Drosophila melanogaster: one gene and its partners. The protein of the gene in region 1 purifies or fractionates together with the protein of each later gene. This does not show direct contact. Each region holds a gene or a part of one and is shown in the gene's direction. Other genes may lie near its edges.

Region 1 (7,673 bases):
AGAAACACATGTAGATTATGCTTATCGTATTAATTTACTTAATTTGCAGAAAACGATCAATTATTGCTGAGCACTTTTTTTAATGCCCATAATTTCGATGATTCAACACATATTCACGGTTTGTCAAAATGTTAATTTCAGCGTTTTGGGAAACAGCTGCATCATAAGTTCCCTTAAAAACAGTGAAAACTAAGTTTATTGGACTATATTACGTTTTCTGTTTGCCTTATAGAGTGTCCACTGTATTCCCGTGCTTTGTTTTATCTAGCTTTTTTTGTTGGCAACACTGGCTGCCCAACTCTCTCCCACTCTACGCCCCTTCCTTACAACGCCATCTCTTTTTATGTTCCCTTTTAATTACAGGTGCAGAGCGGGACGGAAGACGCCGGCCAAAGGGGGAAGGGGTGCGTGGTAAGGGTGAGTGGGGGAAACTTGGCTCCAAAAGTGCGCGATCAGCATGAGAGAGTTCATTAACAGTTGCAATTGAGCCCGCGAAGCACACTGTAATTGTTGTAATTCCAATTTCCCACCCAACTTATACGCAGCTTTCCAACATTTCCATTTCGCTTACCTGTGCAGCTTGTAGATGAATAGCACCAGGAACGAAATGTAGATGAGGGCCACGAAGACCAGCGGCAGCAGAAAGGTGACAATCAGGGGGGTGAGGAAGCGATATAGCCATAGCGAATAGTCCAGATCGATGTAGGAGGCTAGAATCACAAGGTATGCAGTTGGTGGAGGGGCATTTGTTATGTATGTATGTATGTACATAGGTCAGCGGTGCGCCTTATCGGGCGCCAAATATTCGATATTACTCACACAACAGGGAGTGCAGCGTTTTGTACAGGTTCTCCAGAAATTCCATTGTCAGGCGCTGCTCCACCTCATTTGTTGTTCTTGCGCGAAAAGAGAAGCGACCGCCCACCACAACAAAAACACAAAAAAAAACGGTAGAAAAAAGAAGGGAAAATACGACAGAACAAAAAAAAAAAAAAAAAAAACAAATCGGTTTGGCCTGATTTTGTACACTTTCTTCGGCTCGCTTTGCGCTTTTCGAATTCTTTTCGCTTCCTCCTGCTTGGCGATTCTTTTAAATGGTCATCGTATAGTGCGTTTCATTTGAATCAGTATTTAGTATTTGCGCGGCTTGAAATGCATTTTATTTGCATGTTATTTGCTATTGTTATTGTTATTGTCAGTCGAGACTGTTTGCTGGTTTGTTTGTTGTGATTTTCCTAGCACAATGTAAACAATTCGCGGCGCTGCGCTCCACTCGGCTCACACGCAGTAGAGACAACCGACACCGTTCGCAGTCAGAAACATTGTGATCGCGCCGCGCTTTTTTTTGGTTAATAATACTACAAAGTAGCGATTCTTTTATTGTTGTTCCTTCATTCCATTTCGTTTGCTTTTCTGTTGCTCATCTACGTTCTTTGCACCTGGCAACGCCGGCCCAGCTGTTCTGGCTGCAGTCGTTGCCAGACTTTGGTTCTTGGCACCCAGAACAGAACAGTGATGCTCTCTTGGCTAATCACACCTGTTTCTAGCCGGTCAAGGAAGTTCGAGGAAAAACAAAGTTGTTAGTATACTGCATATTATGAATGGCAAGTTCCCAATTAGAATACAACCGCCAACTTGAATTTGAACATTCGCTTATTGGTTTGTATCGATTGAGTGCTATCGGTAATTGCCGGGTGCCGTGGCACCATCGATAGTACCGCCAGTGAGCAGACAGTTGTGCCAGCACTAGCACTTATCGACATTAAATCGGAAGTCGCATTGCAATCGCATGCAATTTGTTTTGTTATTAATTTTCCAAATAATCTCGGGCCTGGTGCTGCTGCCAATTGTGATTCACTACGTCTATTACATAATAAATGCGATTGCCGGCGATCTGTGCGAGCAGAAGAGAGCGCAAAGAGAGCAGCAGCTGCAAAGGAGCCCCACTCCGCGCCACCAAAACCGCCACCCCCCGCATCCGCCACCCACCGAAGAGGAGCCTGTGCTTTCCATAAACAATTTGACAAATTCTAGTCGCTCTCCGACAGCAGCAGCAACAACAACTGCAATGCAAACAAACGATGACGCCAAGTTTATAAAAAAGTGCGTATGTATGGGATTAGATCGTGCGTGCGTGCGTGTGTGTGTTTGTTTGTTTTCATGTGTGGGTGTACAAGTGGCCGAAGAACAAAAGAAATAGCTAAAGCACTCGTCATGCGTCAGAAAGAGAGCCACAATCACCTGGCGCTCTCTATTGATTTTCCACTTTGCGTTCACGCTTCCTCCTTTTGTTTTTTGTTATTTGCAACCGTTAATCGTTATTCGTTATTCGTTGGGTTCTTAACTTTTTTGTTCGTTTTATTAAAACAAAAGCACAAGTTAAGCCAGGCTCAAAAAAAGAATTGGATTGAAAAATCTATTACCTCATTACGCATTGAACCGCATAATTTATGATTGATCCAACAATTTGTCTCGCTCTCAATCCAAAACAAATGCAACGACAACAACAAACAAACAAACAACGAAGGAGGTGGAAAGGCGGATCCATTGAACCGCATCCCACGGATAAGGCGCTGATTGTCAACTACCAACTGGAGGCCACCGTCTTCGGGGAGCCCAACAATCCGATGATCGAGGAAAAGAAGGTAAGAACGCACGGTTACACATCGCTGCACTGGGAGAAAATGCTAGTAGATATTAGAAAATTAAAATAGGACCAGCATTATTGGTATCAAAGATGTTGATAGGGAAAGAATATAATAACAACAATATGCGAACATCTGTAACTTAGTTCTTAACTATGTTAGGTTCATAAAAAAAAAGGAAACAAAGTTGATCCTTAATCGAATAGGTTGAAAAATTGATCTAGATGTGTACACATACATATATTGCTTATTAGTTTAAATACTAGCAGTCATTGTTCTACAAAAACATCCGAATGAGTACTTAAAAAAGCTACTTCTGTTTCTTCCGGTGTGCCCCGAAAAGGGTTAAGGGGCGGGGGGCAGAAGCTGACATTGAGCGGCCCAATCGATAGCGCAACAACAACGGGGTCGATGACGGCCTGCGCTCCAAGTAGTGAGTGAAAAATGTAAAACCACAGCAACAAAAAAAAAAAGATACCCAAAAGCGGTTGGTTGGCCGGGTCTTTAACCTCAATTCACGTTTTTTGGCCGAGCGACAAGCTTATTTTTCGCCGATTGTTCACGACCATAAATATGTACTACATAAGTAAGTCTCTTATGTTTTGCTCTTGGCCATAAATATTGGCGACCAAAAAAGTTTTCAGCTTAGATGCGAAGTGGTTAATTGCCCTGAAGTGGTCCTAAACTAGTTCCTCAATCCTAATAATTACTCTATGTTTATAAATAGCAAAATAACAGCAAAAACAATTAGCCTAATAGTACATTATTTCAGTCGTTAACTAATGCATGTATTGTATTTAATCGCCCAGCACTGTCAAAAAATCATACGACTCCGTTCGCTGAACGCCAAAACGGATCCGGCTGCCTTGGCACGAGAAGTGGTGGAGAAGTGCGATCTCATCCACAAGTCCCAGCTTAATGACGTCGAGCAGATAATCTTTTATCTGAAGAATCGCAAGGATAATGCAAGCAATGGTAAGCAGTTAGATTGTTAGCAGAAATCCATACTAACACTCAGTACCCATTAGATATACCGGATAACAACACTCACAGCCGGCGATCGGCGGCGCTGCACACTTCGCACACCCGCTCCTCTGCTCGATCGCACAGCAGTGTGGCGGCCATGACCAGCAGCACCGGCAGCGGCGGAGGATCCACTGGAGCTAGCAATGGTGTCTCGAATGCCCTGAGTGCCGCCACGCCCACGGCGGATGTGTCCATAAACAATATCGATGAGTATGTGGAGCTGCTGTACGAGGAGCTGGGCGAACGCATTCGAGGCTCGGCCATGATCCTACAGATGGCGCGAAATCCCGATAATCTTGAAGAGCTGGAAAAGAATGGTAAGGATAAGTTTGCAGTTCTGTAGTTTTGAACCCAAACCCAATGTACTATTTCATCATTTTAGAAGCCTGCCTCAGCGCCTTGTCACGTGTTCTGCGCGAGGACTGGCGCAAATCCCTGGATCTCTCCACCAACATAATCTACATATTCTTCTGCTTTTCCACATACACCAAGTTTCATCCGCTCATTGTGCAATATAAGGTGGGAATAGAGTTTCTTAATTAAGTTCTAAGCACTCATTTAATCGTTGTTAATCTATTTCAGATTGGATCGCTGTGCATGGATGTGATTGACTATGAGCTGCGTCGCTACGAGACAATGAGAAATGAGCTGGACGTGCGCAAACAGCCCAATGGATCATCCACTCCACATTCGGCAAAGGCCAGCAAGGAGAAGCTGAACCGCAGCACCGACGATTTCCTGGACATCATGAACGAGGAGAAGCCCAAGGAGGTAATTTTATTTCTATAAGTTCTTGAAAAACATATCTATCGAATACTCAACAAATTCACTTTCAGATGGAGCCGCCGCGTCGTCGCATTCCGGAGCTAAAACAGCGTCCCAAGTCGGGCAATTGGAGCAGCTTTCACGGCTCCATGTCATCGTCGCTGATCAAGAGTCAGATCCTGAATAGCAGCTATCACGAGTCCCTTTGCGCCGGCGGTTCACCTGGCGGCGATACTCCGGCTGTGCCCGCTGAACAGAAGGCCCAAAGCAACGAGTCGCTGGACAGGAATGATCCCAAAGTGAAGAAGGAGGAGATCGATCGGCTGAACAAGCAGCTTAAGATCTTTGCCAAAAAGCAGGAGCAACTGTTGCGCGTGGCCTTCTACCTGCTGCTGAACATGGCCGAGAATGTTAAGCTGGAGGAGAAGATGCGCCGCAAGCATATCGTTAAGATGTTGGTCAAGGCGCTGGATAGGCAGAATATCGATCTACTCATGCTCGTCAGCACGTTCCTCAAGAAGCTATCGATTGTGGGCGACAACAAGGACGAGATGGGCGCTTTGAACATTGTGGCCAAGTTGCCACGATTGTTCCAGAGCACGCACACGGATCTGGTGCAGGTCACCTTGAAGCTGGTCTTCAATCTCTCCTTCGACGGCGGACTGCGTCGCAAGATGATCGCCGCCGGCTATCTGCCCATGCTGGTGATGTTCATCAACGATGAGAAGCATCACGGCATTGCTGTGAAAATACTGTACCACATGAGCTTGGATGACAAAGTGAAGGGCATGTTCACGCAAACGGAGTGCGTGCAAATGGCCACGGATGCCATAATCCTAAACCTCAATGTTAAAGTCGATTTGGATCTCATTGCCTTGTGCATTAATCTCTCGCTAAATCGCCGTAATGCCCAGATTATGGTGGAGGGCCAAAGATTGCATAGCCTAATGGATCGGGCCTTCAAGTACCAGGATGCCTTGCTGATGAAGCTGCTGCGCAACTTGTCGCAGCACGAGTCCCTGCAGCTGCAGTTCATCGACTATGTGGGAGATCTGGCGCGCATTTTGACCATCTGCGATGACGAGGCCTTCATAGTCGAGTGCCTCGGCATTTTGGGTAACCTGGCCCTCACCGATTTGGATTACTCGCAGATCTTGCAGAACTTCCAACTGATTCCATGGATTAGACAGATACTGCTGCCGTGCGCCAGAATGGACGACCTTGTGCTGGACACCATTGTTTACTTGGGCACCTGTGCCTGCGACGAGTTGTGTGCCCTGCTCTTCTGCCGCGCCAAAGTGGTTATATCCCTGATCGAGTTGCTTAAAGCGAAGCAGGAGGATGACGAGATTGTGCTGCAGATCATCTTTGTGTTTCAGCAAATCCTGCGACACGAAAGCACCAGGGAGTACATGATCAAAGAGACGGAATCGGCGGCCTATCTCATCGATCTGATGCACGACAAGAACGAGGAGATCCGCAAGGTGTGCGACTATTGCTTGGACATTATTGCCATAAGCGACAGCGAGTGGGCCAAGCGCATCAAGGTGAGTTGCTTGCCAGTCCAAATATGGCATATCTTAGTACAAACTTGTTTGTGTTTTCTTGTTCTCGTTGTTACATGGCAGCTGGAGAAGTTCCGCAACCACAATTCGCAGTGGCTGTGCATGGTGGAGTCGCAGCAGGACCAGGACAATGAGCAGGACTACGCCGATCAGGAGGACGAGTGCGACAATGATCTGGACACGTATCTGCGCTCCGAGTACTTGGACAATTGCGATCTCTACAACGACAATGCCGACAATGACAGCAATAGCAACAGCAACCATAGCAACAACAATCCGGCCAGCCCGGCCATGTCCACCTACAGCAGGCCACTGAGCACGTGAGTTTTGACCAAGTTTCCACTTCGATTCGAGTAATTAAGTGATAAATCACATGGTACAGCTATCGCCGCAGCCAGGATCTCGATGATTTGTACAACATGACCTCCAGTTCCAAGTCGCAGGGCTCCAGCGACAACAACTACATATTCAAGTCGAACAAATCCCTGGATGCCGATGGTCTGCACGAGGAGCTGCTGATGGCTTAAATGAGGAGAAAGGTCCTAACCCGAATCGATTGAATTTGAATTAAGATGCTTCTGCCGATTGCCCGCCCTCCCGTGTACATGTTTAGTCACTCTGCCTATTAACGACCTTCTGCTTGGATTTATTGGATATTTATATATATATATATATGTATACATATATACGACACCTTTCACGCTTGTTAGTCAAAGACGTTAAATGATTTTAGCGACGCGGCAACTTTGTACTCAAGACATTCAAAATGAGCAACGGCGCACAGACACTGGTTAGTTTAAGTTTGGTTACTTACTTATTGGTATGGTATTTTTTTGTTTGTTATTTATTAATATTTAATTTATTGAGGTCTTGTTTAAGTGCGATGTATGGCTTAGCTTCCACTTTGGTTGTTCGCAACGCAATTACTGTGCAATAATCTCTCACTTAAAGTATTACGTCGAACGTTTTTAGTTGTACTTGTTTTAGTTTACCGAACCTAAACTTTTCGTTTTCTCGAATATCTTACGAACAAAAGTCAAATTGTAATATTAAACAGTGGGCGACAAATGAAACGCCGACATAATGAAACGCCGAAGAATATAAACAAAGCTAATGTAAATGTTCACCTAGTTCGTATTGTTTTCTTTGGTTTTGTTGGCTGTTCAAAAAAAAAAAAAAAAAAGGGGTGAGTACTTTTCCCATTCCGCAGAGCTGTTTGTCTCGCCATTAAAATGCAACAATTTGAAATAATATTGGCTTTTAATTTTGTGTTACACAATAAGGAATATTAAGTTGCAGTTCGTTTCCGAAACATACTTATGACAGTGGCTAGACCGATCCGATAAACATGCATATATCTAGGTATGTATGTATGGTACGTGTATATATAAATAGAAGAATATGCTCTCTAGTTCACTTTATATATATATATATATATATATATATATATCGTGGATATCCGTAAGGCGAGGCCTTCTAGCGTTCAATGTTAAGCTTAACCTAGATATCTCCACTTCAGCTTCAGCATCGGCATCTCCCACTGATTGGTGTTCCGTTTCCACTTCGATTTGACTTGGATCGCTTCGCACATCTGCCGCAGTTTTTGCACTTAGACTATGGTTTTAACAAATTTTTACACAAATATCAGACACAGACATACATATACATATAT
Region 2 (5,771 bases), on another chromosome or scaffold:
AAGGCGTGCCGCAACTTTGTGCAACTCTGCCTAGAGGGCTACTACAAGAACACCGAATTCCACCGGCTGGTCAAGGGCTTTATTGTCCAGGGAGGCGATCCGAATGGCGACGGCACCGGCGGCGAGTCCATATACGGACAGCCCTTCAAGGATGAGTTCCACTCCCGACTCCGGTACACGCGTCGTGGCCTCGTCGGCATGGCAAATTCTGGAAAGGATGACAATGGCTCACAGTTCTTCTTCACATTTGCTCCGACACCGGAGCTGCAGAATAAGAACACGCTTTTTGGAAAGATCACCGGCGATACCATCTACAACATGCTCAAGCTGGAAGATGGCATTGTTGACCACCAGGAAAGACCGATGCACGCACATCGCATCGTTTCTACGGAAGTCCTCTCGAACCCATTCGATGATATCGTTCCTCGTATTCTCTCCCAACCTTCCACGAAGAGCAAAAAGACTAAGAAGGAGCGACAAGGAGTCAAGTAAGACTTACGTTCTAAATCGGAAACCAAATTGTTAACATACTACTAAGTGAAAACAATGAATGATGGCATAATAATGCGGCGTATCTGCAACGTATTGATTTATTTACCATACACTTAAACTGAAGTCTCTAAATACCTTGTAGTGCATTGCTAACGCTTCAATATAATCCACAGAAACTTCGGACTGCTTTCTTTTGGCGAAGAAGCCGAAGGTGACGAGGAGGAGACCAACGTCTATGTTAAACAGAACGCCGGTAAGGCGAAATCCCTGCACGACGTCACAGATGATCCAAAACTCAGCAAGGAGCCCATTCGTGTACCCAAAGTAGAAAAAGCCGACATCGAGGAGCACTTGTCCGACGATTGCCCTGAGGACAGTGTCAAGGATAAACCGTCCACTGCTAGTTCGGATCTCATCAAAATGAAACTGTCTAAGAGATCAAAGAGTGGAGCAGACAAAAAAGTTCAGCCAGTGGAGGAAAAGTCTGATTCTGAGGATGACGAGGATGTTTTGTTAACACGGGAGGAGGAACAAAGTCGAAAAGTCTCGGAGGAAAAGTGAGCTATACTTAAATAGGTTTTATCATGTTTCAAGTCATATAATTTATGTATTTTAGATCCAAGATCCGTGAGGAAATCGCTTCTCTGAAAAAGCAGTATCAAATGGATAAGCAGAGCAAAGACAAACTAGTTAATGGACAAGAGAAAGCAGCAAAGTCCAATGAAATCAAGGGGTCCAGCGAAAACCATTATATTAACGATTTTATAGAGTCTAAGGAGAAGTACACCGCCAAAGTAAAGCTTCAACCGAAGGGACAGTCAAGGTGGGATATATATAAATTTTATTCTTTTCAAAGATTTTACCAATTTTTTTAAACTTTAGAGAGGCATTTACATTGAGCCTACTCTCCAAGTTCCGAACGAAACTGGATAACTTGAAGCAAAAGTCAAGCTCTGATGATGGCGAATCGGAACCGAAGGATATAGACGATCGCGTAGTAGAACAGGAAATAATCGGCGACGATTGGTTGTCGCATACCTTAAATTTTAATAGTACGACTCCGGTTTTAGCTAAGGATGCCAATAAAAAGGGCGACGATTGGTACGATGCCTACGATCCACGAAATCCTCTAAATAAACGTAAGCGGGGCGAAACTGGCTCTAGTAAATCGAGTTCGGGTAAATCAAAAAGCAGTAAACGTGACTTTTAAAGAAAAAATAAAAAAAGATAGTTTCAATAAATATTGATGTATTTATATATATCGTAATTATCTGCTTGCGTATACTATTACCAAAAAACAATTACTATCTACTAAACTGGGTGGTAAGTTAGTGTTGTGCTCATTTCTCTGCCATTTTGAATTGCGCGGTATTGAATTGGGAGTACCGTATTTTCGCTCCATTTGGTGGTGCAACGTTGGTCAGCCTGGGCACACTGCACGTTTGAGCCAGACAAAGTTAACAGCAGCTGAGACAAAAAAGCGAATTCAAGGTGAAGTAATTGGCTTCAAAATAACAGGTAATAGCAGTTGATTGCCAAATCGATTTGCTCATTAGCTCAAGTGGCTGACTAGCTTCAAATTGTGCGTGCAAATCGAGCACAGAAGTGCCCAAATCAGAAGGTTGCGTCAGGAGGGAATTATTGATTTTATTCGTCATTTGTTTTCGGTCGCCACAGCTACTCGACTTTGTTTTTGTTGAGGCGGAGCTGCCTGAGTCACCACCACAGAAAAGAGCACAGTTAACACGGACCTTGTGGATCTCCGGATATTTGGAGATGAGTGCCAAGAGCAGGAGACCTGGCACCGGCAGCAGCCAGACGCCAAACGAGTGCGTCCAGGTGGTGGTCCGATGCAGGCCCATGAGCAACAGAGAACGCTCGGAAAGATCGCCGGAGGTGGTCAACGTGTATCCGAATCGAGGCGTTGTGGAGCTGCAGAATGTGGTCGATGGCAATAAGGAGCAGCGCAAGGTTTTCACCTACGATGCCGCCTATGATGCGAGTGCAACGCAGACGACGCTCTACCATGAAGTGGTCTTTCCCCTAGTCAGTTCCGTTTTGGAGGGATTCAACGGATGTATATTTGCCTATGGACAAACGGGCACTGGTAAAACCTTCACAATGGAGGGAGTACGCGGAAATGACGAACTGATGGGCATAATACCGCGCACATTCGAACAGATCTGGCTGCACATTAATCGCACCGAGAATTTCCAGTTTCTGGTCGATGTATCCTACCTAGAGATTTATATGGAGGAGCTGCGCGATCTGCTAAAGCCCAACTCTAAGCATTTGGAGGTGCGGGAACGTGGATCGGGCGTTTATGTGCCCAATCTGCACGCCATTAACTGCAAGAGTGTCGAAGATATGATCAAAGTGATGCAGGTGGGCAACAAGAACCGCACAGTGGGATTCACCAACATGAATGAGCATAGTTCAAGGTAAGTTTCGGTATAAACAGGCTATACGAATACTCGCATTTCATCAGGAATCCGAGGCTTTCGATAAGGATAAACTTTAGTTAATTAATTATCGTTTACTTGCAGATCCCACGCCATTTTCATGATCAAAATCGAGATGTGCGATACGGAAACGAACACCATCAAAGTGGGCAAACTGAATCTCATCGATTTGGCGGGCAGTGAGCGGCAGTCCAAGACAGGAGCATCAGCGGAGCGGCTAAAGGAAGCCAGCAAGATTAATCTGGCACTCTCGTCGCTGGGCAACGTGATCTCCGCCCTGGCCGAAAGTTCGCCACATGTTCCGTATCGTGACTCAAAGCTGACGCGATTGTTGCAGGATTCGTTGGGTGGCAATTCCAAGACCATTATGATTGCCAACATTGGACCATCCAATTACAATTATAACGAAACGCTTACAACGCTGCGGTACGCTTCGCGGGCCAAGTCCATCCAGAATCAGCCGATTAAGAATGAGGATCCACAGGATGCCAAGTTGAAGGAGTACCAAGAGGAAATTGAGCGACTCAAGCGGCTAATAGGTCCGCAACAGCAGCAACGCAGTGAAAAGCAGGTCACGGCCAAGAAGCAGCGCGTCAAGAAGCCCAAAAAGGAGACCGTAACTAAAGAGATGTCAGACTCTCTGCAGGTTTCAACAATTGAGCAGCCGGTGGAGGATGACAGCGATCCCGAGGGTGCCGAGTCCGAATCGGATAAGGAAAACGAGGCCGAGGTGGCGAAGTCCAACGAGGAACTGGAACGGGAGCGCGTCGAGAACTCAAAACTGGCAGCCAAACTCGCAGAATTGGAGGGTCAACTTGTTCGCGGCGGAAAAAACCTGCTGGACACGTACAGTGAGCGCCAGATAGAGCTGGAGAAGAAGCTGGTGGAGATCGCTGAGCGCAAGAAGCGTGAAATTGAGATCCAACAGCAGCTGGAACTGCAGGAGGAGACTACTCTGGAAATTCGCGAACGAAATGTTTCACTTGAACAAGAGGTGGAGCTTAAGAAGCGCAAGCTCTCCAAATGCTACGCCAAATATTTGGCTCTTCAGCAGGAACTCAACGATTGCAAGTCCGACCACAACCAGGATCTTAGGGAGCTCGAGATGGCTCAGAACGAGCTGGTCAAGGAGCTAAAACGCCAGCTTCTTATCATCGACAATTTTGTGCCCATCGAGGTCAAGCAGCGCCTGTACACGCAGGCCAAGTATGACGAGGAGCAGGAGGAATGGAAATTCTCTTCGATGTCGCTGCCCACGCCTCCTGGTGGTGATGGCAAGTTCAGCAGCAAGCGACCGGTATCGCATCCTCAGCGCAGAAGGCCCACCTCCGAATACGCTCTGCAGGAAGCCAAATCGAATTCACCGAGCTCTCTACGCTTCAAGAGCGAGAACATCGTGAACTACGAGCTGGAGATGCCGTGTCGCACCACCCAGGAGTACCGTACGCCTAAGGTGTCCGCCTCGCTGCAGGCGGTGCTCGCTCAAGCCATGCAAACGGGCGGAGATGATATAGACATCGTGGACTCGCACACAAACTCACTGCGCAGCCGTCTAGAGAACATTATCAACGCGAATGCCAATGGAGGAGCTGGACCAGGTGCTGGCGTCGCTGTGGGCAGCTCCATACCCAATGTTCGCAACATTAAGTCAAGCCGGGGGCTGCCAAGTGCCGCCTCAAATCTGGACTCGAACCGCCGTCCGCCCACGGGCCGTCTGCCGGCAAAGAAGCCAGCTTCGGCGTATCCCAAAGCTCGCGGCCTGGTCAACAAATAATCACAAACGATTTTAATCGAATTGAATTGCATCTAACCATTGTCGTGCAAACACAACACTAACCAAAGTATTTCATAGTCATCGCAATATGTACACCTCGGTACTTTTAGCCCAATCTACTCACATTTCACGCTTTGTAAAAGTTTCCTTTTGTTTTAAGTCATCTCATGCACTGGCCCTAGAATTATAAAGATTTTTTATTAATTCCACTTTAGTTAATGCCATATGCCTTGAGTGACTTGGCCAGTCGACCCCAACACGCTTCCTTAATTATTTTTATGTTTATTTGTTACTCGACTCGAATTATTGTTATTGATTTAAATGCAAACATACGTACGTTTTGTGTTCGATTAAGTGCAATCCAAGCTTGAGTTAAATCCAGCTGCAACTGTCTATTATTTACTTAGTAAATGATTTTTAGTTAATATTATAAACCAAATAAAGCAACTCCGTAAACACAAAAACACCTCTGAGTTAATTTGTTTTTGGGGATTGGAAAACTCATGATGAATAAGTACTACTACAACGTTTGTAGATAAATGCAGTTTCGTTTAATATAAATGCAATATTCAAAATACTGGACTCCATTTGATTTCCATTTTTCACTTGATTACTTTCAGAGAGCGACCGACTTCAATGAATGCATTAATTGCCCGATCGATTTCGGCTTCCGTGTGGGCAGCGGAGATTTGAACACGGATGCGTGCCTTTCCCTGAGGAACCACCGGATAGCTAAATCCGATGACATAGATGCCACGGGCTGAAATTTAATATTAGTTAAATATATATGTAGATAAAGGGATGATTAAGATTTCAACTAACTTAGCATCTCATCGGCAAACTGGGAGGCAAGACGAGCGTCACCTAGCATAACGGGGCAGATGGGATGGTTCTCGCCGGCTATGGTGAATCCAGCCTTTGTCATGGCCTGCCTAAAGCGTTGCGTGTTGCTCTGGACGCGCTGGGTGAGCTCGCTGGATTGGAGGAGCATGTCCATTACCTTCAGACCAACGGCCACAACAGCTGGCGGCAGAGTGTTGGAG
Region 3 (6,819 bases), on another chromosome or scaffold:
TAACCGTGCTCCGGTTTACCGACCATAAGCAGAAGGAGCAGCCCTTCATGTGGCTGATAGACCATAAGAAGAAAGCACAGGTCATGCACACCATGTGGCTGATAGAGTCCAATCGACTGTGGCATGGCAATACTAGTGCCAGTCTCCAGGCGGACGACATGCACTTCATAGAGATTGTGCGCACGTTGCTGCAGATATTCGACGACAACGTGGAAACCTACTGGATAGCAAAGGGATTCTACAAGTACACCCGCGAACTGAAGAAGGAGTGCGTCAAGCTGAAGGAGCAAACGCAGAATATACTGAAGCGCGAAGATTTGTCCTTGCTTAAGTGAGTTTGCATATGGTTAGTCGGGTTATTTGACCAATTTTCTTCGATTACTCCTTATAGTCACCTGGAGCTTCTGGGCCTGTTTGATGGCAACTCAACGCTACTGGATAACTGGTATATAACCTGCTTTGCTGGAATAATCTGTACAACTCATTTGGTCAAGATATGGGACAAAGTCTGTGGAGGGTCCCGGAAGATTGTTGTTTTCCTGTTTGTAGAACTAGTTAAGGACATAAGGTCCTCGATACTAAAGCAAACATCTTTAGCAGACGTCAAAAGACTTATAGAAACGGTAAGTAAATAAGGAAACCATTTGCTAAGCCATAACTTATCCAAAATTTGCCTTAGGTAAAGGATCTTGACGGTGTTATTATCGTAAACAAGGCCATCAAATCACTACAAAACAACAGCAGCGAAGTCGAGTACACGCACTAAGTAAATCTACACTTTTATATTGGACATGTATATAGCAGAATGAACTAAATGTATTTGAAGACCACGTCCTTTTTATCGCCCACCGTTTGCAGTTCCAAGGTCACTGGACACTGCATCCAATAGGAGAGCAGCTCCTCCGTGTAACCAATAAGGAAGTACATTTTTCGCGGTGTAATCGCCTGCCGAATAAGGGCCGCGATCCTAATGGTGTTGTGCTGTCGCTTGATAATGACCTCGGAGCAGACGAGGGCATGCCATGTGCCGGTGACAAACTTGCGGATGAACACATCCTCTATGGCGGTCTGGGACGGACGCAGGGCATCCTTCATTGTTGCTAAGATAGAAGGTGGCCATCAAAATGCTTCCTTAATAAAATTTTCTCACAACTTACACGTGTTCCATGAGTTCCACGATTTGCGGTGGCCAATAAAATGCGGCGGATTGGCCATCTCGTAGGTAAGAGGCCTGTTTCGCTTTGTGGTTATGCGGTATCGCCCGGATTGCACGCGACAGCACACGGAGCTGGTGTGGAATCCTGACCGGCTGAGCTGCTGCACCTCGGTCGCCACCTGGGGCAACAGCTGCAATAGATTAGGTTATTTTAATATATAATTTGTCCTGTTTGTTGTTATTTAACACACCTTTTTCAAGAAGTTCATTATTTTGCGGCAGAAACAATTTTGCGTCCAGCAACAGCTGATTGACGTGACGTAACGGTTCGCTAGAGATGGACAAATTTATAGATAAGTATTCGATATTATTATTGTGTAGTGAAAATATTTTCTATAAAATAAAAAACAACATTGAAGGAAGTAGTTAAATAAAAACACAGAAAGATTAATTTTTAGTTGTGTAAATGCCCTTTTTAGTTCTTAAATGCAATACTTGGATCTCTATTGCATTGATTAAAATCGATTTTTATTTTGTTTTAAAGCGGGGCAGAGTTGTCAACAGTTGTCGGTGGGAAAATGTAATAATGTAATGTAATAAAATTATTGCACGCTTATTTAAAATATATAAATAAACAACATTTTGAGAGCTTCCTTAATAAATAGAGTTAACTTTGTATTAATCCCTTTATTCGAAAGAACTTTGACTGATCATTGAACTTGGGCAGAACTAGCTATAAATTAGCTTAATCGGTAGCACTGGAGCGCTGAGCCTGCGCGCTTGGAAAATGGCTTAAACGCAGGCCATCTCAAACAAAGATCGAGGATCTCAGATCAGAAGGAACTACCTGTTGAAGCGACCGTGCAACAGGACTCATCCAGAAGCAAAGCTGCAAAGGTTTATTCCCAGAATCCCTGGTATCCGAATGCACTAATAGGTGAGGATACATTCAAAGTAATGACGCTGAACGAGAGCGACGCTACTCGCCTGGAGCTGACGCGCAACTTCCTGGAACTGTCTCGAAATCCGGAAACATGCACCGCCCTGCGCAGCTCGGACTGTATCCAGCTTCTGGTGCAGATTCTGCACGCCAACGACGAAGGCCTCTCCACGGCGAAAAAGTACGCCAGCCAGGCGCTGCACAACATCGTCCACAATAATCCGGAGGAGAAGGAGCGCCAGCGGGAGGTGAAGATGCTGCGCCTGCTGGACCAGATCCTCGACTACTGTAACTTTCTGCACACCCAGTTGCAGAGCGGCGGTGAGGCTATCGCAGATGATGAAGATCGTCATCCGCTGGCGGCTATGAAGCTCCTGATGAAAGCCAGTTTCGACGAGGAGCACCGCCAGACTATGTGCGAACTGGGAGCCCTCAAGGCGATTCCCAATTTGGTCCACCTTGATCATGCGGTCCATGGACCGGCTGCCGGTAGGGAACAGTGCAACGCCCTCAGGAGCTACGGCCTCATGGCCCTCACGAATCTCACCTTCGGAGACGAGAACGTCCATAACAAATCGTATCTGTGCGGTCAGCGACAGTTCATGGAAGTGGTCATTGCTCAATTGAACACGGCTCCGGATGAACTGCTACAGGTGAGTTTAATCTTGGAGATTAAGAAAAAAAGATCGTAATTTAATTACCGTTGATCTCATCAGGTTCTTGCTGGTGTGCTTCGCAATCTTTCGTGGCGCGCGGACAAACACATGAAGACTATCTTTAACGAGCTGGGTACTGTGACCTCCTTGGCTCGAGCAGCCATGCAAAACAAGAACGAGAACACTCTCAAGGCCATACTTTCAGCCCTTTGGAATCTCTCAGCGCACTGCAGCACCAACAAGGCGGAGTTTTGTGCAGTAGACGGAGCACTGGCATTTTTGGTCGGAATGCTTAGCTACGAGGGTCCGAGTAAAACTCTTAAGATCATCGAAAATGCAGGCGGCATTCTTCGAAATGTATCGAGCCATATTGCGGTGTGTGAGCCGTACCGACAAATCCTAAGACGGTACAATTGCCTTGCCATTCTGTTGCAACAGTTGAAATCGGAGAGCCTAACCGTGGTAAGCAACTCCTGCGGAACTCTGTGGAATCTCTCGGCGCGCTGTCCCGAGGACCAGCAATACCTCATTGACCACAATGCCATCCCGCTCTTGCGGGCCCTAATCAGCTCCAAGAACTCCATGATTGCGGAGGGCAGTGCCTCGGCTTTGAAAAACCTAGTTAATTTCAGGGCCACTCAGGAGCTTATGCCCAATGGAGATGGTGGGTCACTGCCACTAGACAAGGAAGCTGGCCATGGAGGTACGCTGCCACGGAGATTCAGCTCACTGCGCCTAAGCTCAAATCCCACGGGATCGCTTAAGAAAGTGCGACCCTCAACAGTCAGCACAACTGGCTTTCTGAACAGAAAATGTGAGAGCCGAGAGTCCATTTACTCGGGCAAATCCGATTCCACTAAATACTCAACCAAGTCGGAGGGAGCGAAGAATCCCTTCGAAATTGTGACACCCACTGAAGAGCAGCCCATTGACTACTCCATGAAGTACATGGAGCACAAACCCAATAGCAGTAAGACCTTTGAGATCGACTTGGATCAGCCAACGGATTTCAGTGCTAGATATAAGGAGAGACGATCCGCTCAGACGGCACAGCCGGAGCTGAAGTCGGAGACCAATGAGATTAGAAGTAAGGAGTTGCAACTGACAAAGTCCTCCTCGGCCACGGAGCTGCGCAATAGTCCTGGCCTGGTGGCGGTTTCAGCAGCTAAGCAGAAAATTGCCACCGAAACGGAGACGGAAACGGCAGAGCGACCAATAAACTACTGTGAAGAAGGGACTCCCGGCAGCTTCAGTCGCTTCGACTCGCTCAACAGCCTCACAGAGAAACCGGAGAAATGTATGCCGCCAAAAACTCCAACGAAAACTGCGGTTCTCCCGGTGCACGTTGACGGAAATACGCCTCAAAACATCGATTCCGCACTAGAAACTCCATTAATGTTTTCGCGTCGCAGCTCTATGGACTCATTGGTTGGCGACGACGAAACGGTTGCCTGCGAGGACAATGGATCCGTGATCAGTGAATACAGCCGGATGCAGAGTGGTGTTATTTCCCCCTCAGAGCTGCCCGATTCACCCACCCAGAGTATGCCTCAATCTCCGAGAAGGGACAGAAAAGTGTCCACTCAAAATAACTTGGACACACCTGAACAGAAGCCCAGTACTGTGTTTGAGGACAAGTTGAACAGATTCCACGTGGAGCACACGCCTGCTGCCTTCTCCTGCGCCACCAGTCTAAGTAATCTGAGCATGATGGACGACTCTAATGCAAACGCTATTCGAGGACAGCGTGGAAATGACATCAACGGCAATGGGGATGCTCCTCGCAGCTATTGCACAGAGGACACTACTGCCGTGCTTTCCAAAGCGCCAAGCAATAGTGATCTGTCCATTTTGTCCATCCCGAATGATCTAAATGCGAATGAAGCGCAGCCAGTGCCTGCTCCGCGAGCTGATGTTACCGGAATGGACACTCGGATGCCGGCAGAAGATGCAATCTCTAAGATGCGCTGCGGTGGCAATGCATTGCCCAGTTATCTGCCAGTGTCGGATGAAATGAGCAAGTACTATGTCGAGGACAGTCCCTGCACGTTTTCGGTCATCTCGGGACTATCCCATCTCACTGTTGGCTCTGCTAAGGCTGGGCCTGTTCTGAAGCTGCCAATGAGGACTGCAGAAGAGGCTCAGGCACCCAAACTTCCTCCCAGACGTAGTGCCGTTCAAGGAGATGCGGAGCCACGCTTACCGCCGAAGAAAAGCGACTCACTGAGCTCATTGTCCATGGACTCGGATGACGACTGTAATCTTCTAAGTCAGGTGAGAAAAGGATACTTCATTCAAAACACTTGATATATTTCACCATATAAACATTTTGTGAGAGACTCACTCAAAAATAAGTGTCTTTGTAGATTTAGCAATCGGAATGTTGATATTTCACAAAAGTTAAATTTAAAATGCAGTCAGAAAATTCTCGCTAAAATCAGAAATATTAAAGTTGTTCCCTCTTTTTATAGGCCATTGCTGCGGGAAGTTGTCGACCTCAGCCCAGCGGTGCCAGTACCAGCTCCAGCCTGGCGAACGCTAGTACCAGCACTCTATGCAGGGAAAATGGGCAGTCAAAGAAGCAGGTGGAGCATGGCGATAAGCCGAACTACAGCTCAGATGACTCGCTAGACGACGACGACGATGATGCACGGTCCAAGTCGCTATTTGAGCAGTGCATTCTGAGCGGCATGCATAAGTCCAACGACGCCTTGGAGTCGGAGGGTGAGCCGCCGGGGCAGCGCCAGGAGATCAGTGCCCGGGATCGATTTGTCAGTAACCAGGTGCGCCAGATTGAGTCCATGTTGGCTGGGCGTCAGCACTAGAAGCGGATGGTTGGTTAATTGAGAAGCGCATGCATTTGTTTAGTGGCTTTTAATCTTGTCTACGCAATAATATTCTCACGGTCTCAATTTTCCTATAGTTCAGATTAAAAATTTGCACTTAAATTTAACTCTCCAACACGTGTAATATTATGTTTACCCTCTCACTAAACAATTAAGGAAACTAAAAAGGGTGATAAGAAATGGGATACAGTCGCGGTATAAATATAAATAAAAGTTGCGATCAACTGAGGTCCGGGTAACTCCTAACATGATGCTACTGTGATGAACTAGCTAGAGAGCTCAGTAGAAACGTTTTCGCGCGTTGCGATCCTTGAAGTAGGAGATGGCGAAGATGGCCACTGCAGCCGCCACGACAACCACGAAGAGAAGGATGAAGAAGATCTTGGCGTTGGACATTCCCGGCTTGGGATCTTCTTTGTGCTCGCGCGGGGGCTCGAATGTCTTGGCATTCGGTATGATATTGGAGCGCCGGATAATCTCATCGTGCTGCGAACAAGAAAGAAAGTAAAAAGATGGTTATTGCAACAAGAAAGTAAAACTGGTTTTCAGTAATATGATATAAATATTATAACACACGGCTTATAAAGATAAACATGATTAGGCATCAAACAATGTGTTTAAAGCCAGCTGCTTAATTATTACAAGTTGCAGCAATTAAAAACAAGTTCACTCTTTTTTCTTTATACGTATACGCAGTTATTGAAACTTAAGTCCGCTTTTGGGTTCCTTGCACTCCTTATCGCGTTAGCCAAATAGCAGACAGCTGAGTAATGCTTACTTCGCTTCCGAAGTTTGGCAAACAAAAGTGAACTTACATTTACGTTCAAGTCCAGGTCATAGAACTTGAAACTGTGAATATCGTGATTGTCGGACAGATCACCCGTCGTCGCAGACATGCCGAAGTGGTAGCCCGTGGGTAGCTCAACGTTGGCCACTACAAAGCAGTTCTTCCATTCGTTGCGGTTCTCCAGATCTGTGGAAACCGACAGAATGTCGTTTTCGTATCGAATGCTAACCAGCGTCTCGTACTCCACATTGCGGAAACGAACTTCGCAGCCGGCCAGCTGAGTGTGCGTTCCATCGCGATCGTGGTCGTAGCTCCAGCTGCCATTGTTCACCATGGCGCTGAGATATGGATGTTGGTGCTACAAATATAATGTTAATACATTTACATTCAATGCCTTGCGTAATGACATACGTTGTGTGGACCATTGTGATTGC

What was found.
Region 2: the proteins of Kap3 (region 1) and Klp68D purify together in Drosophila melanogaster (affinity purification with western blotting; 4 studies listed by BioGRID, with this or other methods). This does not show direct contact.
Region 3: the proteins of Kap3 (region 1) and Apc2 purify together in Drosophila melanogaster (affinity purification with western blotting, with the first as the bait; one study listed by BioGRID). This does not show direct contact.

The regions. Positions count from the first base shown.
Region 1 is NC_004354.4:11,333,644-11,341,316, reverse strand, and holds Kap3 (kinesin associated protein 3), read left to right. Parts: upstream 1-1,728; 5' UTR 1,729-1,789; coding exon 1,790-2,103; intron 2,104-2,492; coding exon of another isoform or gene 2,493-2,527; coding exon 2,528-2,645; intron 2,646-3,454; coding exon 3,455-3,620; intron 3,621-3,673; coding exon 3,674-3,988; intron 3,989-4,053; coding exon 4,054-4,190; intron 4,191-4,253; coding exon 4,254-4,442; intron 4,443-4,507; coding exon 4,508-5,983; intron 5,984-6,064; coding exon 6,065-6,321; intron 6,322-6,383; coding exon 6,384-6,528; 3' UTR 6,529-7,130; downstream 7,131-7,673. Other genes in the region: CG34348 (uncharacterized protein), read right to left, coding at 572-710, 820-865.
Region 2 is NT_037436.4:11,793,689-11,799,459, forward strand, and holds Klp68D (Kinesin-like protein at 68D), read left to right. Parts: upstream 1-1,925; 5' UTR 1,926-2,010; intron 2,011-2,169; 5' UTR 2,170-2,268; coding exon 2,269-2,933; intron 2,934-3,038; coding exon 3,039-4,728; 3' UTR 4,729-5,187; downstream 5,188-5,771. Other genes in the region: CG10907 (uncharacterized protein), read left to right, coding at 1-488, 666-1,049, 1,109-1,315, 1,375-1,702; Gcat (glycine C-acetyltransferase), read right to left, coding at 5,331-5,488, 5,551-5,771. UniProt on the Drosophila melanogaster protein: Plus-end directed microtubule motor that may be used for anterograde axonal transport and could conceivably move cargos in fly neurons different than those moved by kinesin heavy chain or other plus-end directed motors.
Region 3 is NT_033777.3:24,162,061-24,168,879, forward strand, and holds Apc2 (adenomatous polyposis coli 2), read left to right. Parts: upstream 1-1,905; 5' UTR 1,906-2,113; coding exon 2,114-2,749; intron 2,750-2,812; coding exon 2,813-5,026; intron 5,027-5,223; coding exon 5,224-5,577; 3' UTR 5,578-5,877; coding exon of another isoform or gene 5,878-6,084; 3' UTR 6,085-6,204; downstream 6,205-6,819. Other genes in the region: TBC1d7 (TBC1 domain family member 7), read left to right, coding at 1-331, 392-623, 680-766; mRpS24 (mitochondrial ribosomal protein S24), read right to left, coding at 811-1,100, 1,158-1,347, 1,408-1,425; CG5510 (uncharacterized protein), read right to left, coding at 5,878-6,084, 6,414-6,743, 6,797-6,819.